Coturnix japonica: one gene and its partners. The protein of the gene in region 1 purifies or fractionates together with the protein of each later gene. This does not show direct contact. Links are inferred from orthologs where the notes say so. Each region holds a gene or a part of one and is shown in the gene's direction. Other genes may lie near its edges. The genes, in order: histone H2A, USP48, NAP1L1, PPM1G, HNRNPR, PHF14 and GON4L.

What was found.
Region 2: the proteins of histone H2A (region 1) and USP48 purify together in Homo sapiens (affinity purification with mass spectrometry; 3 studies listed by BioGRID). This does not show direct contact. The link is inferred for Coturnix japonica from reciprocal best matches to the Homo sapiens genes H2AX and USP48.
Region 3: the proteins of histone H2A (region 1) and NAP1L1 purify together in Homo sapiens (affinity purification with mass spectrometry; 3 studies listed by BioGRID and IntAct, counting the BioPlex papers as one, with this or other methods). This does not show direct contact. The link is inferred for Coturnix japonica from reciprocal best matches to the Homo sapiens genes H2AX and NAP1L1.
Region 4: the proteins of histone H2A (region 1) and PPM1G purify together in Homo sapiens (affinity purification with mass spectrometry; 4 studies listed by BioGRID and IntAct, counting the BioPlex papers as one, with this or other methods). This does not show direct contact. The link is inferred for Coturnix japonica from reciprocal best matches to the Homo sapiens genes H2AX and PPM1G.
Region 5: the proteins of histone H2A (region 1) and HNRNPR purify together in Homo sapiens (affinity purification with mass spectrometry; 3 studies listed by BioGRID and IntAct, with this or other methods). This does not show direct contact. The link is inferred for Coturnix japonica from reciprocal best matches to the Homo sapiens genes H2AX and HNRNPR.
Region 6: the proteins of histone H2A (region 1) and PHF14 purify together in Homo sapiens (affinity purification with mass spectrometry; 3 studies listed by BioGRID and IntAct, counting the BioPlex papers as one, with this or other methods). This does not show direct contact. The link is inferred for Coturnix japonica from reciprocal best matches to the Homo sapiens genes H2AX and PHF14.
Region 7: the proteins of histone H2A (region 1) and GON4L purify together in Homo sapiens (affinity purification with mass spectrometry; 3 studies listed by BioGRID and IntAct, counting the BioPlex papers as one, with this or other methods). This does not show direct contact. The link is inferred for Coturnix japonica from reciprocal best matches to the Homo sapiens genes H2AX and GON4L.

What each region holds. Positions count from the first base shown.
Region 1 is NC_029539.1:24,431-27,252, forward strand, and holds histone H2A, read left to right. Parts: upstream 1-1,316; 5' UTR 1,317-1,598; coding exon 1,599-2,027; 3' UTR 2,028-2,322; downstream 2,323-2,822. Other genes in the region: DPAGT1 (UDP-N-acetylglucosamine--dolichyl-phosphate N-acetylglucosaminephosphotransferase), read left to right, coding at 665-730. UniProt on the Homo sapiens protein: Variant histone H2A which replaces conventional H2A in a subset of nucleosomes. Nucleosomes wrap and compact DNA into chromatin, limiting DNA accessibility to the cellular machineries which require DNA as a template.
Region 2 is NC_029536.1:5,714,890-5,719,102, forward strand, and holds the start of USP48 (ubiquitin carboxyl-terminal hydrolase 48), read left to right. Parts: upstream 1-1,413; 5' UTR 1,414-1,472; coding exon 1,473-1,606; intron 1,607-2,128; coding exon 2,129-2,249; intron 2,250-2,421; coding exon 2,422-2,572; intron 2,573-3,697; coding exon 3,698-3,825; intron 3,826-4,213.
Region 3 is NC_029516.1:34,434,298-34,437,797, reverse strand, and holds part of NAP1L1 (nucleosome assembly protein 1-like 1), read left to right. Parts: intron 1-482; coding exon 483-585; intron 586-3,012; coding exon 3,013-3,154; intron 3,155-3,500. UniProt on the Homo sapiens protein: Histone chaperone that plays a role in the nuclear import of H2A-H2B and nucleosome assembly.
Region 4 is NC_029518.1:95,322,792-95,325,038, forward strand, and holds the end of PPM1G (protein phosphatase 1G), read left to right. Parts: intron 1-195; coding exon 196-325; intron 326-443; coding exon 444-546; intron 547-982; coding exon 983-1,183; 3' UTR 1,184-1,747; downstream 1,748-2,247.
Region 5 is NC_029538.1:1,436,150-1,439,649, forward strand, and holds part of HNRNPR (heterogeneous nuclear ribonucleoprotein R), read left to right. Parts: intron 1-1,781; coding exon 1,782-1,900; intron 1,901-2,288; coding exon 2,289-2,396; intron 2,397-2,908; coding exon 2,909-3,022; intron 3,023-3,500. UniProt on the Homo sapiens protein: Component of ribonucleosomes, which are complexes of at least 20 other different heterogeneous nuclear ribonucleoproteins (hnRNP). hnRNP play an important role in processing of precursor mRNA in the nucleus.
Region 6 is NC_029517.1:23,815,324-23,818,823, forward strand, and holds part of PHF14 (PHD finger protein 14), read left to right. Parts: intron 1-2,562; coding exon 2,563-2,833; intron 2,834-3,409; coding exon 3,410-3,500. UniProt on the Homo sapiens protein: Histone-binding protein. Binds preferentially to unmodified histone H3 but can also bind to a lesser extent to histone H3 trimethylated at 'Lys-9' (H3K9me3) as well as to histone H3 monomethylated at 'Lys-27' (H3K27ac) and trimethylated at 'Lys-27' (H3K27me3).
Region 7 is NC_029540.1:1,770,208-1,773,707, reverse strand, and holds part of GON4L (GON-4-like protein), read left to right. Parts: intron 1-216; coding exon 217-398; intron 399-902; coding exon 903-1,100; intron 1,101-1,468; coding exon 1,469-1,612; intron 1,613-1,880; coding exon 1,881-2,024; intron 2,025-2,315; coding exon 2,316-2,435; intron 2,436-2,556; coding exon 2,557-2,670; intron 2,671-3,140; coding exon 3,141-3,348; intron 3,349-3,500. UniProt on the Homo sapiens protein: Has transcriptional repressor activity, probably as part of a complex with YY1, SIN3A and HDAC1. Required for B cell lymphopoiesis.

The sequences.
Region 1 (2,822 bases):
GCTTGAGAAACTCCTCAGAGCATGAGTGCCTGGATGCTAGAAGAACAGCTGGAAAAACAGCACTGTGTTCTTGCCTTGTCACTCTAACACAGCACAGCCTTTTATTGCAGTTCTGTGTTTCAGTCATACCAAATAACAGTAGTACCGGTGTTATCTCCAGCTGGTGCCCTTACGTAAGTGTGGCATGCAACTCAGTGGTAGCTGGAGTTTGAGTGTGGTGTGGGAACATTTTGAAGCAACTCAGAATGCAAGAACATACCTTGCAGATAGTGCTGCTACTCCTACTCAATGCGTGAACTCTTACCTGGTAGATGTTTTGTTTCAGAAAAGACGTAGCTTAATTGCCTACAATTCCTTCTTCAGTGTCAGTTCAAAGGTAAGAGTTTCTCCTTAGGAAAAAGCACTTAAATTCCCCTTCCAACAGAAGACTTCCAACAGAGAGAGCGGGGCTCGGGCCAAGTACATCTTTGGCAGAAGGGAATAGGAAGCGCATACAGCTTGGTCTTGAGTCAGGTCACAGTGCTACATAGTGAACAGGCCGTGTATTAAAGCACATCAAATCCATCTGTAAAGGAAGAACCTGCTGACCAGTGAACTGTCTGATGTAAGGTTTCAGATTCAGGTTGGTTATTACTGTGATTTATTTGTCTGTTTTTAATCCTAGGTCCTGGGCAGCATGATTGCATTTTCAGTGCGGTACCAGCTGGTGCGCTTATTTTATGATGTCTGACTGAGCTTCCAGGAGCGGCACCTTCCAGTGAACTGTACTAAAACAATTCAATTCATCTGATATTTTGATCTGAAAACTTGAAGCCACCTTTCAAAACACGAGGAACTGCTCCAGGCCGGCCTAGAATCACAGTTCTCTTCTTATGGACAAAGCGTCTCTGTCCTGTTCTGCTGACAGTCAGCACTGCTTGCATGTCCTTGCTACCGGGAACACCTTTCAGATGGGAAATAAGCAACACGAATCTGTACAGAGTCCTTAGGGAAAGCAGGAGAAATGGAACGTCTAAATGTAAGAAACATGTTGCTGTTCCTTGAGAGAAGAAATAAGAACTGCAGCGTCTGTGAGGCTGTACGGCAGAACAAGTGAGCTGGAATTGCCCTGTTGGCTCATGAATGAGTCCATGGATGCAGAATGACGTGCTGTAATCGTACCTGTACTCAGGGCGTTCTGAGAATAAAAGAACTCGAGGTACATTGCCATCTTCGGTTCTGCCTTGCGGACATTGACGTGCGCTGTGACATGGCCCCGCCCCCTGCCGGCGCTTCGCCCCGCCCCCCGCTCACGTGGCCCCGCCCCCTCACCGTACCCGGCCGTGAGCGCCAACGTCCGCCGCGTGGTACGAATTTGGCGCCTTGTCTTCTGATTGGTCCGTCGCCGCCGCCAATAGGTGGGAGGTGAGCGCCAAGCCAGCCAGTCAGCAAAGAGGTTCAGGCGGCAGAGCTCCAATAGCGAGGCGCTGTGGCGCCGTCCAATCAGCGCGGCCCTGCCTTGAGGGAGGTTATAAAGCGCCGGGGCGGAGGCGCGTTCCCCTTGTCCCGCCGCAGAGCTCCGCAGATCCGCGTTGTGTGTCCGGTCCCTGCGAGGCGCCATGTCTGGCCGCGGTAAGAGTGGCGGTAAGGCCCGAGCGAAGGCCAAGTCCCGTTCCTCCCGGGCCGGGCTGCAGTTCCCCGTCGGGCGCGTCCACCGGCTGCTGCGGCGCGGCCATTACGCGGAGCGGGTCGGCGCCGGCGCCCCGGTGTACCTGGCGGCCGTGCTGGAGTACCTGACGGCCGAGATCCTGGAGCTGGCGGGCAACGCGGCCCGCGACAACAAGAAGACGCGCATCATCCCGCGCCACCTGCAGCTGGCGGTGCGCAACGACGAGGAGCTCAACAAGCTGCTGGGCGGCGTCACCATCGCGCAGGGCGGCGTCCTGCCCAACATCCAGGCCGTGCTGCTGCCCAAGAAGGCGGGAGGCGCCGCCAGCCCGGCCAAGGCCGGCAAGAAGGGCGGCGGGCAGCAGTCGCAGGAATACTAGGCCGCCGGGCCGGGCTCCCCTTCCCCCACCAGCACACAAAGGCCCTTTTCAGGGCCGCTCCATTGCTCACCGGGAGAGCTGCGATCCGAGGGAAGGGACGGCCGGGGGCTGCGGGAACGAGGGGGAGCTGCGATGGGAGCGGGCGGGAGGCACGGCGTGATACTGCAGTGCAGTCACATAATGCAGATACGTGATGCTCTTCCTAAAGACACCTGGTGCTCACAACGTGACTGCTGCATTCAGCAGACATTGCACAGGAAATAAACGATGCTTCAGCTCCAAAACCGGAACCCAACAATGGGTTATTCTGATGTTTCTGTAAGGCACTGCAACATGGCAGTGCAACACGATGGTTCAACCATGAACTAGAGGCAAATTTCTTATGCTTCAGCACAAAGATTGCCAGTTACTGTATATCAATGCCTGTCCTCATTCTACATCTATGTAGTTGCACTGGGAACCTAATGCTGATCTCCTTCAGCATTCCTGAAGATACCAGGGCCAAATATCCACAATTTCACTAGTTTAGCAGAAAACACTTCTGTGCTGTCAGCACAGTGCAGCACTCCAGCACTGCCCCTGTTTAGTCTGACTATAACCTGTATTTGGTGCTTTGTTACTAAATGCAATTGGAGAACAATTGCTACTACATCTCTCCTCGCAACAAAACCCTTTAAACGCGTTTCACAGAGATTTTACAACTCAGGTAAACTTAGAAAAGCAAAACTCCAATTTAGTACTTCAAGTATTTTATGCCCAAATGTCAGACAAGGCTGGTGCAAGTGTTAAAAACGC
Region 2 (4,213 bases), on another chromosome or scaffold:
TGGGACACAAGGGGATGTGGTTGTGGGGTGGGACATGATGAGGCACTGGGGGCAGTGGGACAGGACACGAATGCAAGACTGTACGTGATGTGGCATGGAATGGGACGTGAGACATGGCGTGGGGTGGGATATGGGAGAGGACATAAGAGGCATGATATGGGACATGGTATGGGATGTGGGACAGGACAAGAGAGTGGACATGGGAAGGGGACATATGGTGCTGGGATGTGACATGGGGCAGGACGTGAGCAGCAGACCTGCATGAGGACTGTGGGGTGCTGCGTCCTCCTGTTCCCACACTCACATGCCCCCCGTTCTGCAGGCGGTGCCCCAGACCCCCGCAGCCTCACAGCCGGCAAGTTCCTCACCGGCGTGTCGGGATGTGTGCGGGGCCTGGTGCTGGCGCCCGCGGGGACCCCCCGGCACCCCACTGACCTGCGGCACGGCGTGGTGGGCGGCTCTGCCGTTGCCCCCTGCCCCTCGTAGCCCCCCTCCTACCCTCCCACAGCTCGGGGGGATTAATTTTGTCGGGTTTATTATTATTTTTCCAAAAAGCCACGAGAAAAAGGTGCTTCGCTGCCCTGGGATGGCTCCGGGGGGGCCGGGACCCCACAACAATGTTTACACCCCCCCTCCCCACTCCCGACCCGAGCCACGCTGGGGCGGCCGGGCCGCTCAGGTGCCTCCTGGGGTGGTACCTGGGTGGGGGGCGCAAGGGACAATCGTGGGAGTTGGCGGGGACGGCGGGATCCCCCAACCCCCCTGTGCTGGGACAACTATTAAAGGAGAGAGAACCAGCGCGGGGGTCGGGTGTGGGTCTGTCATTGAAATGGGGCACGGGGCTCCAGGCCGCACTGGGGGCTGTTGTGGGGGTGGGAAAGCTGCTGTTTGGAGCGGGGGATGGAAGCGTGGGGTGGTGAGGGGACACAGGGAGGTGCGGGTGTGGGGTCCAAAATGTGTCAGAGCCGGGAACAGCTGCTTATGGTGGGGGGATGTGTGGATTCGGGTGTGGTGTGGGGGGATCGGGCGGGCGGCTACGGGGACACGGGACAGGCCTAAGAGCACGGGAGGGACCGGAGGGGTCCCGGGGAGCCGGGACACAGACATGGAAGGTGTAAGGGATCCAGAGCGGAGGAAGTTGGGCGTAGGGTCGGAGTAGGGATGGAAGGGGCTGTAGGGCCATGGGGGCGGTGCCTGGGGCGGGGCGGGGCGGAGCTGACGGCCGCGGTGATCAAACCGGCCCGACACGAGCGGCGCCGTACGGCTACAGGGCGGCTTAATGGCGGCCGGAAGTAGGCCCTGCCGGAAGCAGGCTCCACCGGAAGTAGGCCCTGCCGGAAGCAGGCCTCGCCCACCGCGTCGCGCGGGATGCGACGTCAGCAGCTCGCGCCACGTCGGGCGTTACCGCGTCGCGCGTGTGGCGTCACGGGCCGTGACGGCGGCGGGAGGGGCCGGGCGGAGCGGGGGCCGCGATGGCGCCGCGGCTGCAGTTGGAGAAGGCGGCCTGGCGCTGGACCGAGACGGTGCCGCCCGAGGCGGTGACGCAGGAGCACATCGAGGCGGCCTACCGCGTCGGGCTGGAGCCCTGCCAGCGCGGCACCTGCCGGTACGGACGGGCCCGCTCCGAGCTCCCGGCCCTGGGCCTCGCTTCCTTCCCCCGCCCTTGTTCCCGCTCCCCGCGCTGCTCCTCCCTCGGCTGCTGTGCGGAGCGGCCCTCCCTTCCCTTCCCTTCCTCTCCCCTCCCCCGCTCCAGGCCCTGCAGCACCGCGGCTCTTCTCCCGGTCCCTCCGTTGTCCCCCCCGCTCCCCGGGCGCTCTCTCACGTTACCCCGGAGATGGGGGGGTCCCTCCCCTGTCTGTCTCCGGATACGCGGCTCTGGGGAGCTGGGGGCCCGCGTCCCTCCCTCTCCCCCCTTTTATTCTCTCAGCACACCCCCGGGGTTCCCTTTCCATCCTCTGCTTGTGGCTTTCCCAGTTCTCTCCCAGCCCTGTGTTGTGGGGAGGTGTGGGGCCCTGTGAGTCCCCCTTGTTGTCCCCACAGTCACCTTCTCTCCCCGTCCCCCCATCTCCCACCCGAGGGGCTCTGTCCCTTTGGTGGTTGACGGATGGTCTTGGTGCTGTTCCTGCAGGAGGAACTGCCGGGGGAACCCCAACTGCCTGGTGGGCATCGGGGAGCACGTCTGGCTGGGCGAGATCGACGAGAACAGCTTCCACAACATTGATGATCCCAACTGTGAGCGACGCAAGAAGGTACAGCCTGCACCCTGCCCCAGGATGAGGCGGGGGGGACACCTCTGTGTTGTGCCTGTCCCAGCTGTTACTGGGATGCACCGTGACTCGGCTGCTCCCACCCCAACTGCTGCATTTCTACTTGCTTCTTGGCAGTGGCAGCTGATAACTGTTGCTTTCTTTGTCATACCAGAACGCATTTGTGGGCTTAACGAACCTCGGCGCCACGTGCTACGTGAACACTTTCTTGCAGATGTGGTTTCTTAATCTAGAGCTGCGGCAAGCCCTCTACTTATGTTCGAGCAGTGAGCACACAGCTGGGGAGAGCATCCCCAAAGACAAAGGTCAGTGGGAACTTACCACAGCGTTCTCTTTTTGGTGTGAATGAAATGGTCTTCCTTGTTTTCTTCTAAAACCTGGCGGCGTAGACTTTGAGAGTACATTTATGGTGTGAATCAGTGGCTGATGCTGCAGCTGGTGGTTCCGTCTCTGTGAGGCTCTTCAAGTCCTTCACTCAGTTTTTAGGAGCAAATCAAGCTAAGGCATCCTTTATCATTTCTCAAATTGCTGTGATCTGATGTGGTTGAAAACTCCTTGGGTTTCTAGTCAGAAAGCTGCGCTTGGTGCCACAGATGGTGAGGACTTAGGTGCTGGGTGTGAGGGGCTGTGGTGCTGCACCTTCTTCATGGTGCTGTGCTGGAGTTGTGCTCTGAGCCACCCTGTTTTTGAGGTGTGTAGCGAACAGCATCTTGTTGTTTGGCTCAAGCTGTTTTCTGACAGCTTGTGTTGGGTGCTGCGAGATGTTTGGCCCGTGCTTGGTGCTGTGTGGGCACCCAGCAGCAGCTCAGCTCTGATTGCTTTGCTCACTGCTCCTTCTCCCAGTGAGATGAGAGAAAGAAGTAGAGCTCATGGGTAGAGATAAGAACTCTTTACTAAGGCAGAAAAGGAAGGAGGAAATGACTGTAATGATATTTTACTGAGTATTTATAAAACAAGTGGTGCACGAGGCAGCTGCTTGTCACCTGCTGATTGGTGCCCAGAGTAGTGGCTTCCACTCCAGCCTCAGTTTTCTAGTTGCACATGATGCCATTTGTCATGGAATATCCGTTTGGCTGCTTTAGCTCAACTCCTGGTTCTGTCCCTCCCAGCATCTTGCATCCTCCAGCCCTCTGCTAGCAGGGCAGAAGGAACAGCTGGAAAGCTGAAATGTCCTTGGCTTTGTGCAGCACTGCTCAGCAACAACTGAAACACTGGGATGTTATCAGCATTATTTTTTCTCCTAAACATAGCGTTGTACCAAACGCTGTGGAGAAGATGAACTCTGTCCCAGCTGAAACCAGGACAGTTAGCCCTCATTGCTGACATTAACCGCTTCAGATCTCATGATGGTTTAAAACAGCGCTACTAACGGGTGACTTTTAGTTGTACAAGTTAACCGTACAAAGAACAATTTCTATTTTTTTTAATAGACTATGAGCCTCAGACCATTTGTGAGCATCTCCAGTACTTGTTTGCCTTGCTGCAGAACAGCAAAAGGCGATACATCGATCCCTCTGGGTTTGTCAAAGCGCTGGGCTTGGATACAGGCCAGCAGCAGGTAGGCCTGAGTCTTGTCTGTAATTACTTTCTCTAAAGAAGTGTGAAACTGTCCTTTTAGGTGTTATTTGAACAATCTCTGAGCTGGGATCTGCTGCTCAGCCTCATTTGTACAAACACAAAGGGAGAAGAATTGCTCCAGGCCCTCCTTGGGGCAAGTGCAGGAGGAGCAATGAGACCAGCACCATTAGCACCTGCTCCACAAGCACTGAGCATGCTTGGGAGTGAGCCAGGACCGTGTTTCTCAGATCATTTCCCAGGTCCTTCCCTGGAGCTGAGAGGCACAGGGAAGGGCTTTGTGCTGCTGAACTCCTATGGGAAGGGGGGGGGTGAGGGGGGGAAGAGGGGGAGCTGAGACCCCAACGGGATGAGAGCTGTCTGAGGTCCTG
Region 3 (3,500 bases), on another chromosome or scaffold:
TCTGTAATCAAGAATATGTCAGGCTGAGCTGACTGGATTGCTTTGCTGTTCGTTTTGGTGGTGGTGGGTGGGGGGGAAGTAGCTCTAATGAGCAATTATTATTTTTCAAGACAAAAGTATATAAGCATAGACTTGTAAACCAGTTCAGTACCCAGGTCTGAAGCAGTCTTGTTTATCTAAAATGGAATGAAAATTGCAACTTTTGTTTGTATTGTTTGTAGTAAGGGGGCATGGTTTAGTGGGAGGGTATTGGTGGTAGGTGGATGGTTGGACTGGATGATCTTGGAGATCTTTTCCAACCTCTGTGATTCTGTGTGATCAGCACATCTGAAATGGAGACACTTTAAAAAAAAAATTCTGCCTGTGTTTCTTCTTAGAATAACAGGAAATTCACTTCATATTTTTTCTTAGTATTTAGATCTCTTTCAAGCCTTGTCTAGAAGATATGCTCTGCACTTACAGAATTTTCATTTTAATTTTAGCTCGACAGTTGACTGTGCAGATGATGCAAAATCCTCAGATTCTTGCAGCTCTTCAGGAAAGACTTGATGGTCTGGTAGGAACATCTACAGGATATATAGAGAGGTAAAATGTTTGTTCTAATTCAGTATGAGGAGAGTGATATAAATGTGCTTTTGCTTCCTGAACAATATTGTCTTTAAGATTAATCATAAACCACTGCTCTGCCTAGGTAGCAGGAAAGTAATATAATCAGGAATTGACGCATTTCAAAACTGAAGGCTTTCTGTTTGAGCCTTTTTGAAGTAAAAAATGCAGAAATATTTAGTGGCAGATAATGTCACGTGCAATTGCAAAATGTCATTCTGTCCTGCTTTTATCAGTATGTTCCTTATCATGACATCATGCGGCAAGCTGCTGGGCGCAGATTCAGCACTGCATTGCGGAGCTGTATTTCCTGGTTCACTATAGCAGTCTCATGTGAGTTTTTACACTCCAAGGGGAAGATACTGAGATGTACTGCATTTTCCCAAGGGCCTCCACATGATTTCCAACTCTTGGTGATGAGGAAGAACTCTCTTGTCTTTTCTAGGAGGACAGCCGTGAGGTTCTGCTGATAAGGACTCTGATTCTCTCTCTCCTCTAGTTTTATTTTTTTGTTTGATTTACTGCTCTTAGTTATTCTGTATTATCTCATGCTCCTTTTAATAAATTTGTTTCTCTTATCTCAATCAGATTTTTTTTCCCCTCTTCCTCCCTCTGCATTTTGCCCAAGGGGAGGGAGAGGTGTCACGTGGTTAACTCTTCAAACCATAACACATAGGCACAGATATTTTCCCAGAATGTTTTCTCAGCTTTGCTTTAATTTGAAACATGGGCAAGTACGTGGTCACTTGTGGTCATACTGTAACCACAAATTGGGAATGTTGTATCAATACTTAATGTAGTCTCCTTATACAATTTGAAACAATCTGTTGCTTACTAAAGTTTTCTTTACTGCATCTGCTATAACAGATTTATCTATCTCCTTTGTGTAATTTCTAATTGTGTGAACTTCTGACCATATGCACAAGTTGTAAAGCACAGAACTATCTGACTGTGATAGGATCCTGTGTTGCTATTGATGTTATCTGAGATGGCTACTGAATGACTGGATTTGCTGCTGCTACTCCTACCACTTTCCTGTATTACAGGCAGTAGCATAGAAGAAAATACAGGCAACTAATAGCCTACCCTAATAACTACAGGCCCAGGAAGAGCATGGAGTCAAAGGAGTACATAGGTTCTCTACACTGTTCTATATGCTGTACACTAAGGCTTTCTATATCTAATATGTTGATTTTTTGACAGTTATTAATTCATCTCTCCTAATCTTTCAAGTCCTAGCTGTAAGAAGTGAACAGAAGTCCTACTTCTGTTTACTTGGCATTTTCCCCTGTCAGCTGCTCTTGGAGATACTGCATCATTTCTTCATCTATTCTAAGTCTATAGTTCTTTTTCTTGCAAAGCATTGCAGCTTTACCATTAATATCAAGTGCTTGCCAAACTTACAATAGAAATAATAGCTGGAAAATGTGTAACTTTCCTCTGTGATTCCTTAACATATACATGCTGATTTAAGCATGCTTTACAGGGACCTCTTACATGTCTTATCAAATATCCTACTTAAGTGGGGGCTGGTGGCATTAGTAATTAATACGAACTTGCAGTATTTAGTTAATACCTTCTTGGTTGCTTCCACTAACCTGAAGCTGGTCCTAACAGTTTTTCACTTTTTTGCAGCTGTTTGCCATTGTGCTCTTAATGATGTGACCCAGTTCCTTAAATAAAGAAGGTTAACATGGTAATCTGCTGTAGCTATATGCTGGGGACTGGCTCACATCATCAGTGATAGAGGCTGTCACCAGTCTACCCTATGAATTTCACTAACAGTGCAGGTTAATTTCTGCCCCAGCTCTAACTTTGTTAGTGTGGTCTTCTACAAGTCAGATACAACTTTAATCAAAGTTTCACAACAGCTTATAATGAAGGCTGCACTAATTGTTTGCCTGTAATATGTATATAATATGGTTTTGGCTTATTCTGGGAGACTGTTAAGGGACAGCAGTGATAGCTTCATTCCTGAATAAACAAAAATAATGGTTGTGAAGCTTGACTTCCTTAGTGAAGTAATAACTCAATTGTCTTGAATGTTCATAAAAACAAACAAGTAGTTAGCTCATCCTTGATTGTGCTCCATGTTAGCAATTTGCCATGCTGCTTGGTGGTAAGGTAAAACTTGCTGTCAGTGTGAAGCTTTACACAAGTTTGCGTATTCAGAGACTTGACTTTTTTTTTTATTCTAAGTCAGGTTATACCTGTTTTAAGAGTCTGTGTTAAGTTTATTCCACATGGTACAGTGGGTCGTAACTTTGACTTTTTTTGCAGTTTTCTAGTGTTTAAAGCAGTGTGAAATCCATTTTGATATGTGTTGGTGAAAGGAGCTGGTTAATGAGAGGTCAACATGTGCATAGAATGCAATGTTCGTAACAGTTCTGTCACTGTATTTTTCAGCTTGCCTAAAGTTGTTAAAAGACGTGTGAATGCTCTCAAGAATCTTCAAGTTCAGTGTGCACAGATAGAAGCAAAGTTCTATGAGGAAGTTCATGAGCTGGAAAGAAAATACGCTGCTCTCTATCAGCCCTTATTTGACAAGGTATTTTAATGCTTTTCTTATTTGTATTTAAAAGCTTTAGTTAAACCAAAAGGGAATATAAACTGAAGCTTATTTATGTGTTCTGAATTACCTTGGTCTCTAATGTGCCCATTCAGCTGAATTTACACTATTTTGCTGTCCATGTGACTATCAGCTAAGATGAAGTGTTGTCTATTCCATGGCTAACAAAGTCACCTTAGTATATTAGGCCTCATCGTATTAACTGAGCAGATGTTAGGTTATGTGGTAACCGTTCTTGCATGTTGGTTCTTCAGTGTATTGAAACACTGGTAACTGCTGAATCTTTCTAGAGCAAGAAATTGTTTGGTTAAGTAGACAGTACTTT
Region 4 (2,247 bases), on another chromosome or scaffold:
TATCAGCATGGTGGGCTCACCTCGTGCTCTGAATGTGTGGCAGATTTCTCTGTCTGATATCCCCACAGTCAAATCTGCTTTGTCAATGGGAGCACCAGTGTCAATTCTGTTAAGGCTGGGTAGTGTTCCTTGTTGCTCAGGGTTAGGCAGTGTTACCAGTGCCCAGCAGCTGTGTAAATCCATCCTCCTCTCCAGGTGATCACTTCTACAAGCGGAACAAGAATCTGCCTCCAGAAGAACAGATGATCTCTGCCTTGCCTGACATCAAAGTACTGACAATAAACGACGACCATGACTTCATGGTCATTGCCTGTGATGGAATCTGGTAGGTAGTGAGAGAGCTGTGCCTCTTGGGTCATCGCTGCCCTGATTTTTCTCTCTTGGGACAGTGTGGTGTGACAGCTCCCATAGCTAATAACCCTTCTGACCTTCCCATTCTTCAGGAATGTGATGAGCAGCCAGGAGGTGGTGGATTTCATCCAGTCCAAGATCACCCAAAAGGATGAGAATGGAGTCCTGAGGCCGCTCTCCTCTATCGTAGAAGAGGTAAGGTCCAGAGCTCACGCCATCAGTGCCTTCACCATCCCATTGGCACGCAGTGATTCTGCACCCCAGCTCCATCAGGCCAGTTTGTTGAGAGCTTGAGTTATCTGGCAGCATGTGGGCTGCAACACTGGCTGTGTTATGGGAGCAGAGTCACATCTGAATTAGGGTCCACTTCCTTTGGCACCTTAATTAATGTCTTTGACCCCTAAGTTGCTGTCAAGCCAAGGGAGTTTTCTGTCCACTTTCAGGAAGCCAGGGATACCGAGGGCTGGTTCTGTCCCTTGTCTGGCTGTAAACACCATCTGAGCCCAGCCCAGCCCATGCTCTTCTGGGCTGGCAGCCCCTACCTACCCTGCTATCAGAAGGGGCCCAATGTCTCAGACTATTCTAAGTGTCGCGCCTCTGCTATGTGCTAACCCGTCCCGTCCCTCCTCAGCTGCTGGATCAGTGTTTGGCTCCAGACACTTCAGGGGACGGCACTGGCTGCGATAACATGACCTGCATCATTATCAGTTTTAAACCCCGCAATACACACCCACCTGCTGAAAGTGGGAAGAGGAAACTGGACGACGTGGCAGCACCGGCAGCACCAGCAGAGGAAAACGGCAGCGATAAGAAGAAGGCCAAGTTGGAATAACAAGCCTCGCACAGGGACTGTGCTGTGCGCTCACCAGACTCTCGTTTCTTAAACATGCTGAACTCAAGACTCCACAAAGTCTTGTCCTTTTTTTAGCCTTAGCAGAGGCCTTGTTTGTCCGTGTCCGGGGTGGGGGGTGGGGGGTGGGTCTGGTTAGCGAGGGCATGTGGCGCTGTTCATCCGTAACCATTCCAAAGAGTGAAGCCAAGGGCAGAGCTGCACGCGGGAGCAGCCACCAGCCGCGACGTGGGAGCCCACCATCAAGTGGCAGCTTCTTCTTAGCACAGAGCCCTGTGGTTAGAAGGATGGTCCCCCCTCCCTACCCCCCCATTGTCTCCATGTGGTTGTTGCCATTTCTGTGCCTGTGACTTTTCTGTTCCGGAGGGAAAGAACTTTTTTCACTTGTTGAGGTTTTTTAAAATCTGCACCCAATTATTTAAGGCCCTTTTCTGTTTTTATTTGTGAACCAATCCGGCTGTGGTGCTGCCGCCACACCTCATGCTGTTGTACACTTTCAATCAATACCTTTTTCAAACTAAAAAAAGCCTGGAAAACACGGTTGTACTTCTGGTCGTTGGTCCTTTCCTTGGTAGTTGGGGTGGGGGGAAGAAAAGGCAGGTGGGAAGGCAGGGAACTTCTCTCCCTGCGTCTCAAAGCACCGCGAGGGTCGCTGGGTTGTGGGCAGCTTTGTATGGCTTGTGTCAATGCTGCTGCTCCTATAGGAGTGAACTCTGCTGTCCCTTGCTGCTGTGTCCCTTCACCTCGCACCCATCCTTCACCAGCCCGGAGTACTCCCATCATTATGACAAGGTAAGACCCTGCCCGAGTGGCCCTTACCCGAAGTGCTTCCATTAAGTGCCCAGTAATGACATGCTCAGAGCTGGAACTGCTTTAGTCCCTGTACCATCAAAGCAGGCTCCTGCAGCCCCGCTGAGGGTCGGTTGTTGTCTGTCTGGTTCCTGCAGTGAGGTATCGGTCTCAGGAGGGTCCGTTTTCAGTTTTGGTGCTGGTTGTTAAAGGTTGACATTGATCTCACGTTGGGAACTTGCGTTGAGATGGAACTG
Region 5 (3,500 bases), on another chromosome or scaffold:
GGACAGTTTAACCCATGTCTGTCAGTCCACTGAGAAGTTCACTTTGATCCTAACTGCTTTTTTACCAAATGAGGACTAAGCTATCTAGCAAATTGAGTAATATTTTGCTGGTAGCAAGTGGTCTCTGCAACTGCTAGAGGAAAGGTTTCTTTATAGACCAAGGTTTCTCTATTTGATTTTTAGAACATCCCATCCTCCCGTATTAGTTTGTCCTTAGACAGAAGCTTCTTTTTTCTCTTTAGAGCGTGTTCTGTGAACAAATGTATAAGAAGCAGTAGAACTGCTTTATGTGCTTATCTTCAATGCCTTGGTGGCACGATGACAGTTTTTTGTTGAAAAGAGTCAAAATTCCACCGATGAAACGAAGGCAGTTCAAAAACCAATACTTTATCCCTTCATCACTATGACATTCTGGGTCATGTGAATGATGCCTTTTGAAAGTCATTCACAGTGAGCTTTCATCGAGCCTTGACAAGCTTTTATTGGCATAGCCATGCACTTTCTAACTGTGGGTCATGCTGATGTACACTGGATGCTTTGAGAGAAGGAGTAAATGCCTGGACAGAGGAACTTGTGGGGTCTAACCTGTGTGCTAGTTAGGTTGTGTCGTGAGGAGTTCTCAAGGGAGTTAAAAGCTTTTCAGCCCAGAACCAAACTACCTAGTATAATTCCATCGCATGAGTAACCTGACAACATTTATTTGCATTTCCTTAAAGCCACCGCAGATATTCACATTGTGCAGGGGTTTGTCAGTGAAACATTCTGCTTCTGAGACCAGAGCTAAATTGAAAGTTGAAGTTTGGGTTTTTTAATCTGCTGAGGTCTCATCTGAAAGATACAGGTGCCTTCCGATATGCAGGATCACTTCTGAAATGTAGTCCTTGGGCTTGGCACTACTTTGCATTTTTGAAAGCAAGTAGCAGTTAAATCATCTGCATTCTGGAAATCAAGCTGTTGCAAAGCATGTGGAGTTATTGGTCCTAATTTTCCCTGTGTGGTTTCAATAGCTCAGGTGTTAATAACACAAAGTCCTCATACTCCACAGCTTGTGCAAGTGCATTGCAAAAGGGGAGAGCAAAAAAACCCCACAAAGCTGTTAAAGATCCTGAAACAGGAAAAGTGCTTCAGAACTGGTCCAGTGTTTCTTGGGGGAGTCTGTACCTGTAAAATTAACATTAGCCTTTTCGGGTACATTGAGAGGGCTCAAAACAGAAGCTTTTTGAATTCTGGCTCTCGAACTGCACAGAGCAACAAACTAAGTGAAATTCAATCAATTTTTAGGCATAAGCAGTTTATTGATTTTTGCTCTTTGAAGTAAGGAGGAAAGAGTGACCAAACCATTCTATTGAATGTTTTGTAGCGCTTTGTGAGTGTTTGATCTTCAGTTAGAGAGTTCCTTTTCACATACATTAGGTTACGTGTAATGTTCATATGTCAGCTTACTTTAGAACAGCTCCATTCAAGAGAATGAAGTGTGAATCTTAAGAGTCAAACAAAACCCAAATTGTTAGAAGAGAGCCAGAGTTGTCTGTTGGATTTCCGAATGTTAGAAAGCTGTTACACATGGGGTGTAATCTCGCACTTCAGTTAATGCTTAGGTATATACATTTTAATTTAACTTTTTTCATTGTTGTACTCATATTTTTTCATATACTTGTGTAGGAATATGTAATTATATTAAATATATAATTCTGTTATGGACTTTTAAAAGCAAACTGCATAGTTCTTAGCTTGCATGACATTTAATAGAAATCTGTAACTTCTTTATCTTTAACTTTTAGGGTTGGTAGCTTATGTCGATCTTGATGAAAGAGCAATTGATGCTCTTAGGGAATTTAATGAAGAAGGAGCCCTCTCTGTATTACAGCAGTTTAAAGAAAGTGACCTGTCGCATGTACAGGTAAGGTGAGAGCTCCAGAAGTGTGAGCACATAAGTGTAATAGTGTGCGCTATTGGCAGGAGAGCTGATACGTAGAAACTCTTTTCATGTTCTGTATGTTTCAAACCCAGATCACGGGCCTGTTTAAAAGTTTCCCTAAATGTTGTGGGTATTTGCGTGCAAAACTAAAGCTCCCAGATAATAACAATGAGTGCTTTTGAGAACATAAGGTAAAAATATAGCTTGAAATTCCATGCCTATTAGTTTGATCAGTTAATTGTTGCATTTATCAAGAGGATTCTTTTGGTACCTGGCATTGTCTTATCTAGTGACTTCACGGTATGGATTTGGTATATTCCCAGAGCTTTTCATACCCCCGATTTAATTCTTTTGTAAATTGTATCTACAGAACAAAAGTGCATTTTTATGTGGAGTTATGAAGACCTACAGGCAAAGAGAGAAACAAGGCAGCAAAGTACAGGAATCAACAAAGGGACCAGATGAAGCAAAGATCAAGGTAACGTGTTGAAAACACTGATTGTTTTGTACTACCTGTATGCAGACTGAAGGAATTGTAATGCTTAATGCTTGGAAGGCATCAATATTGCTTTGATAAGAGCATCCACACGTTAAAGGAACGTATGCAAGATTGAAAAGAGAGAATACTTGCTTGAAATGTAGATGTACCTGATTGCACAATTACCAACAGGCATGAACTTCACAAAGAATAATAATCTGTTTCAGAGTTATCTTGTCTTTTTTACACTAGTTTGTACAAGCTGATAAAATTGAGACTAATTGGGCATTCCAACAAGACTGAGTCTTGGAGTTGGTGAATATGTTAAGACATGGTCTTTCTGTTGTGCAAAACCAAAAGCTAGTGAGAACTTCTGGAGTTCCTTGGCCACTACATAAGATATTGCAAACAGAAAACAAGGGTTGCAGTAACCTCAGAAACAGATTCTGTTGTTTGTGGCCCCCACCCTCTGTGTGTAACTATATTGTGAATACTTTTCCATTTTTTTTCAGGCTTTGCTAGAGAGGACTGGTTACACTTTGGATGTAACTACAGGACAGAGAAAATATGGGGGCCCTCCTCCAGATACTGTGTATTCTGGTGTTCAGCCTGGTATTGGAACAGAGGTTAGTATGCACAGACTAACGCCATTATTTTGTGTGTTTGTGGAAAGTCATTTGTTAGAAAGACTGGCAAATAAATTATACTGCGAGGGAAAGTTTAAAACATTGCAGAGGAAAGCTTGCATCTCTATTTTCCTTCTTTAGTCTTAGCCCTCAGTATTCTGCAGGAAAAATGCATCATTGTTTGAGGAGAAGAAAGCAGGTGGATATAATGGGAAGATTCAGTAAGCAGTAACAAATATTTCTATGCATTGTATTGGAAGAAGGTAAAGACTTGAGTGAATTGCATTAGGATACTTCATGCAAAGTTTTGAAGAGGTCAGCTTAGATTGCAATGACAGCAAATAATTCGTTAATAGTCACCAGTCTTTACAAAACACATCTTCAGTGCTGTCATGATCTGATAGTGAAACCGCTACACTGAGAGGATCGTATCTTCTTTGTTTTTGAAATGCTTTTCATTTCTTATTCTGGAAGGTGG
Region 6 (3,500 bases), on another chromosome or scaffold:
GTATTGGTTGTGCAAAATCATTGTGAGTCCAACAGGGTTCATACTTGCTCTATTTTTAGACCTTTGGTTAGAACTCTTCATTTGTTATGTGGTGCTGCTAGTGCTAGTAAGTTCTCTGCATTTTCCTTTCTTCCTGCTCTTTCCTTCAAATCAAGACTCCATGAGTATGGAATTTTTTCTGAAATAAAAAAAAATGAGAACTATTGGTGATCAGTGGATGGGTGGACTGGATGATCCTGTAGGTCTTTTCCAGCCTTGATCATTCTGTGATTCTTTGATAATTGAGTGGCTCCTATGCATTTTTAGAACTGCAGAGGTTTCTTAATACATACCAGAAATGTTCGACCCGGGAGTTGACACAAAGTGTATATAAAGTCATATCTTGCACTTGAATACACATGCACATATACACAAAATGAAAACTTACTTCCATGGGAGTTTTAAAGCTTAAGTAAGGTTTCCAGATATTGATAAATGAGTATGTAGTTGTAGAAATAAAATGTGTGTTGCTGTGAAAGTGTATTTTTGAGACACATTTCAAAAGGAGAAAAAGGTGGTGCTTGGTGCTTTCTAACCCTGACAGGAGTAGCTGAGCTAGCAGTTTGGCAAGTCCTGTGTCCCAGAATAAGAAAAATCTGTAGAAAGAATCTAAGTTATATAACCGTCTGGCACTACTATTGATTACTGGAAAACAGTATATGTTGAAATACTTCCTTTATATGAATAAAGGAAATGTACATTACTTGAGTAAAGTAATTCGAATTTACTTAAATCCATTCTTACAGTTGAGAATTTCATTTAAACTAGTCAGTCTGATCTGTCAGCTTTTTCTGGAATTGGGCTCTGAGAATACAGTTGTATGACATTAAATGACCTCAAGATTTTCAAACTGAGTACATCATCAAGTAAAGAAGAATCAAGAACAAGGAAGATATAAACCATCCTTGTTCATTCTGGCGATGAATAAAGCAAGTTGATGATTGCAGGTGGATCTCTTGCTTGCTGTTTATGTTCAAGATAAAAGCCCTTGGGCTTAAAACTGTTCCACAAGGCATATTTCTTTTGTTTCTTGGTCATTAATGTTTGTGACCTAGTAAGGTAATGTATTAAACTGCATCTTTAACAGTAGTTTCAGCAATGCTGTTTGGAATCAAAGATGTTCCTTATGCGTGGTGTATATTTATAAATGCAAACTTTTTTGCTTTTGTCTCAGGAGTATTTCGTACCATATGGTAGGGTAGTCAGATTGGGTTAGCTGTTTCTTTATGTTGGCAAATGAGCAACTTCTAAGTCATAGTCAGCTGAAGTTTTGCCTCAGAAGGCTTGTATATTGATGTCATTTTCTGCCAGACTTACTGCTGCATAGAGTTCCCACAAGACAATTTTTTCCAACTGTCAGCAACAACTTGATTGATCTGGGTCTGATCTCCCAGATGGTCACAAATATACAGATGTCATCAACAACAAGTATTGTGAGCTTCTGCTGATTTCAGTTCCCTTTGGGCTAAGATTTTGGCAGATTAAAATAAACTAGTTTAACATTGTGAAGTGAGAGGGCATTGAAAAAGGTGTTCATACAAAAGAATGTCATATATGGCAAAAATACTGTTCACCAAATTTTACTGCTCACATAAACTTCAGAATCATAGAGTTTGGAAGGGGCCTCTGGAGATTATCAAGTCTAACTAACCTGCTAAGGCAGGTTCCATACAGTAGGTTGCACAGGAATGCATCTGGGTGGTTTTTGAATGCTTTAAGACATGGAGAGTCCACAGTCTCTCTGGGCAACTTGTTCTATTGCTCCATCACTCTAAAAGTACATAAGTTCTTTCTCATGTTCATATGGAACTTCCTGTGTTCCAGTTTGTGCCCATTGCCTCTTGTTCTGTTCCTGGGCACTGCTGAAAAGAGGCTGGCTCCATCCTCTTGGCACCCATCCTGTAGATATTTGTAAGTATTGATAAGATACATATCATTTTAAGATACTTATCCAGACTGAACAGCAGGACGTCTCTCAGCCTTTCCTCAGAAGGGAGATGCTCCATGCCCCTAATCATCCTTCTCATCCTCTGTTGAGCTCTCTAGAAGTTTACTGTCTTTCTTGAACTGAAGATCCCAGAAATGTACACAAGTCTTCATATGTGGTTTCACTACAGCAGAGTAGAGGGGAAAGATCAGCTTCCATGACATGTTGGCCATGCTTAATGTATTTTTGGTAGGTCAGCAAAGATTTTTCCCAATGAAATTTCATGGTTCCATCATATTATCATTTTTGGGAAGGACTGTCTGAAAGCCAGCAATAATTGACGTTAATAGAGTAGCCTCATCAAGGAATCTGTGAAATCCTCTGAAACCTATTGGAAGGGTAATGCTATTGAAGTATGCTTTTTGATTTTACTTCACATGTCTGTTAGTGTATTTCTTGAATCAAATTGTTGTAATTAAAAAAGTATTTGTTAGATTCTTCAACTTTTAAACTGAAAATAAGACACAGACTCTTTCAGAAATGTTGATTTTGAATCGTTCCCTTATGTTCTTAATTCATGGAAGTTTTTGTTGTAGGCTCGAATCAATGCCAGACTACAGCAGTATCGTGCCAAGGCAGAGCTGGCTCGTACCACCAGGCCACAGGCCTGGGTTCCCAGGGAGAAGCTACCACGGCCACTCACTAGCAGTGCTTCAGCCATTCGCAAGCTTATGCGCAAAGCTGAATTAATGGGAATTAGTACAGACATTTTTCCAGTTGATACTTCAGATACTAGTTCCAGTGTTGATGGAAGAAGAAAGCATAAACAACCAGCCCTCACTGCTGATTTTGTCAATTACTACCTTGGTAAGGATTGAAAGTACATATTCTTCTCAGAGAAAAATAATTGTTTTGATGTATTTGTACTTTCTTTTCTTGTATTTCTTTGTTAATAGGCAAATAGGAATTATTATTATTATTTTTTATTTTTTCATTTTTGGTCAGAAACCTTATTGCCCAATATACAGAATGTTGATGACTTTTCTTTTTTAAGAATTTTGGGAAAAGAAAACCATCTTTCAAATACAAACAGGCAGTAGTATCTTTTCTAAGAAGGGATTGGAAGTTTAGGTGCCTTTAGTATCTCTTTTATGTTTTCCTTACATGTGGAATGGCATGTTTTTGACATTGACTGCACAGAAGATTAGCTGATCAGAGATAACCCTTTAAGTAACTGTACTAGGTTATTGTATGCAGCAAGAAGTCAGTGTTAAGATGTTCATTCTGCTGAGGCTGTGTAATAAACCTATAATTGTATGCTTTAAAAAAAACCCAAAAAACAAAACAATGGTTTTATGCTTTTCGTTGCCTCACTTTTTTTCAGTGTGTAGAACTTGAAAATATAGCCAAGGCTAGAAAATAATGAATTTTTCTTTTAAATAGAGAGAAATATGCGCATGATTCAAATCCAGGAGAATATGGCTGAGCAGAGGAATATCAAGGACAAATTAGAAAACGAGCAAGAAAAGCTTCA
Region 7 (3,500 bases), on another chromosome or scaffold:
CAGTACTTTCCATTCCACTGTAGTATTACACTAATGGAAAGTATATTGCTCATATGCTTAGAGGAGGATGTAAGCAGTTCACTGATCACTATGTGAGGACCTCAACTCTGAAAAAGCTGCTTCTGTATTGCAGTGTTAGTATAGAGGAATAGTTGTCTGCCAGCCAAGAGAACGTATGAAAAATGGGTGTATGACTTACTATGTTTTTCTTCACAGGAGAGAACATGAAAGCCCCTGGGAAAAGCAGGAGCTCTCACAGAGCCAGAAATAAGAGGGGCCGGGCACGTGCAAGTAAAGACACATCAAAGCTGCTCCTCTTGTATGATGAAAACATCCTGGAGAGGGACCCCCTGAGGGAGCAGAAGGATCTGGCATTTGCACAAGCATATCTGACCAGGGTAAGGCAGAACAGTTGTAACCCCAGACAGGAATCACAGACACTTTGAATCCTCAAACGCAGTTAATTTCTGAGCAGCATAATGGCCATTTCTAACTGTGGGTGTTGCTTCTGGCCTGGATGGAGCTGCCATTCTTCATAGCACCTCACATGGTGCTCCTTTACTTACTAAATCCTTTGTCTTGGCCCATAAGTTTTCTTCTTCTTGCTCTTCCTATTCTCTCCCCTGCCCTGCTTGGTGTCTGTGGGGATGCTCAGCTGTTGTCTGGGGTCAACCCACAGCACTGGGTCAGTTTTAAATTCAGAATTACATGGTTTTGGGTTTGGCTCCCTTGTTCCTTGTGAGTAGTCTGCTTTTATCTTTAAAGGAAGAGATTTTTCTTATCCCAGAGATACTGGGAGCACTGCAAGAATGCTGAGTAGCAAGAGATCAGAGACTCCTATGTTTACTTTTTCCTTCCTGGGTGTCACACAATCCTATAAAGATCTGCTGTTCTTTTTGCAGGTGCGTGAAGCACTACAGCACATTCCTGGGAAGTATGAAGACTTCCTCCGTGTCATCTACGAGTTTGAGATCAGCATGGACAAGCAAACAGCTGTGGATCTATATTTCACCTTACAGAAACTGTTACATGACTGGCCACAGTTGCTCACAGACTTTGCTGCCTTTCTTTTGCCAGAACAAGCTTTGGAGTGTGGGCTGGTAGGTAGTGTGTGTGAATGAAGCAGACAGCATGAATGCTGATGGGAGTGAAAGAATGAGGAATTTTCCCCAGGGCAAGGAAAGACAGGTGGTAAATCATTTGCTTACCTTCTGCTTAATTAAGTTGGAATTGAAAAGTCTGGTGTCTGTTATGAGACTTATCCTGGGTGTGACCGTGGAGAATCAATCAACCTTCCCCCTGCAGTCCCAGAACCTGACCATAGAGAGACATGGGCAGATACAGCAAGTGGAATGGTTTCCTTGTCAGCCTTCCGCTTTTCCCACCCGTGAGACAGAAGTTTCACCTGTTAAATTCCTTCTGAGGTTTGTTTTTCATGAGGGGGGTGATTGTTTTTTCTTTCAATCAGTTTGAAGAGCAGCAAGCATTTGAGAAGAGCCGCAAGTTCCTCAGGCAGCTGGAAATCTGCTTTGCTGAAAATCCTGCCCACCATCAAAAGATCATCAAAGTTCTGCAGAGTTCTGTGGACTGCCTCCCTCAGGAGATTGCAGAGGTGAGGAGGCATTCAGGTTTCTCCTTCCTCTAAATCCCTGAGAAGCAATGAGATATCCTGCTTCTCAGTTCCCATGTGCAGCACGTTGTAGTGGTATTTCTTTGCTAATTTGACAGCTGTGTATGGAATGATCTCAAAATACTCTTGAGCTAATACAATGGAGTTGTAATAAGCCTTGATGGTTCTGCCTGCCCTGAGAAATCCTTCTTAAAGAGTGTAATGATGTGGAATGAAATGCTCATTTTTCTCTGGATTTCTCTCTTTTTAGCTGAAAACCCAAATGTGGCAACTGCTGAAAGGACACGACCACTTGCAGGATGAGTTCTCTGTGTTCTTTGACCACTTACGGCCCTCAGCCAGTCGCATGGGGGATTTTGAGGAAATCAACTGGACAGAAGAGAAGGAATATGAGGTACAGTGATGTTTTCATAGAACCAGGAAATATAAGAACATATAAAAATGTTTGAACCTGAAAGACTCCAATCATGGCTGTGTTTCCAGAGCAATGGAGGCATCAGGGTGGGAAAGTTGTTGGACAGGAGCAAAGCTTTAAAATCTTTATACAGCATTTGTCTCTTCTAACACAACTGGGCTGGTGGAGCACTGGAACTGATCTCAGTATTTAGAAATTCACAGGGAAAATGAAGTTTGGTTTTCTGGAGAGCTTTGGTGATAGAGCAGTTCTTCTTTTGTTTTCTTTTAGTTTGATGGCTTTGAAGAGGTGTCTTTGCCGGATGTAGAAGAAGAGGATGAACCACCTAAAATTCATGCAGCCCCCAAAAATAAGAAGCGTAAAGAAATTGGAGGCCAGAACAATGACAAGGTGGGCCTGGGGGCATCTCATTAGTCCTTGTATTTGGACTCCAGGCAAATTCATGCCCATGAGGATAGATGTGTCTGTGTATACAGTGCACATTGATCAGCTGCAGCCTGTCTGTTTGCAGGAGGCTGAGTGGGGAGATGGGATGAAGGAATGCTCGTGTTCCTGCCACGAAGGGAGCGGTGAACTCAAGCTGAAGAAAAGCAAAAGGAGGAACTGCAGCCATTGTAGCAGTAAGGTGAGGTGAAGCTTTTAGTGTGGTGGGTGGAGGGGATAATTCTGCCAAGAGCCTCACTGTTGTGATGAGCTTTTCAGACTCAAGTCTAATGCGTGAAGTATCATGTGTTGGGGAAGAGAGCAAAGAACCGATCCTGCCTTCCTCTTCAGTGTGCTTTGTCTGGCCTTCTCTGGTTTATCTCCTGCTCATTTTCAATTGCCCTACTTTGCTGTACTAAATTTCGTCAGTTTTGGTGTTTCTTTGAGATAAAATAAGCATTTTTGTGTGTGTTTCTGAAAGATGCTTCTGCAGCTATTGTGTGAGAACTGTGCCTATTCATAATGGAAAATATTTAGCTTCCTTGATGCAAAAATGCTGCTAAACTGAAGCCCTAGTTAAGATCAAGTAATGCTTTGAAAGCAAAGGCTGAGATGTTGGATTTAGTTGGATCTGCTACATCTGTATTTAGATGCCTATTTGCTCATTTGCAGGTGTGTGAAAATAAATTTTATAAAAACAAAGATTCTCAGGAGCTGAGTGCCAGCCTTGTTCAGCAAGAATCGAGTCCTCAGCCTGAAGGGAAGGATTCTGGAACGTCAAAAGAACCTGCAGAAGAAAACTTAGAGCACAGAGATGAGGGAGAGGATGTCCAGAGCAGAACAAGAACCGTGTCAAAGAAAGGGGACCCTCTGCCTGCAGGTGGGTGAACATCCTGTATACAGAGGGTTATTAGCATTTATCTCCGAACCTTTTTCCATAGATGAAAAGAAGCATGGAATTTCTCCTAATGGAGATGATTGAGATACTTTAAATGTGGTGTTTTCAAAGCATTCACTTCAAGAAAGGCTTTC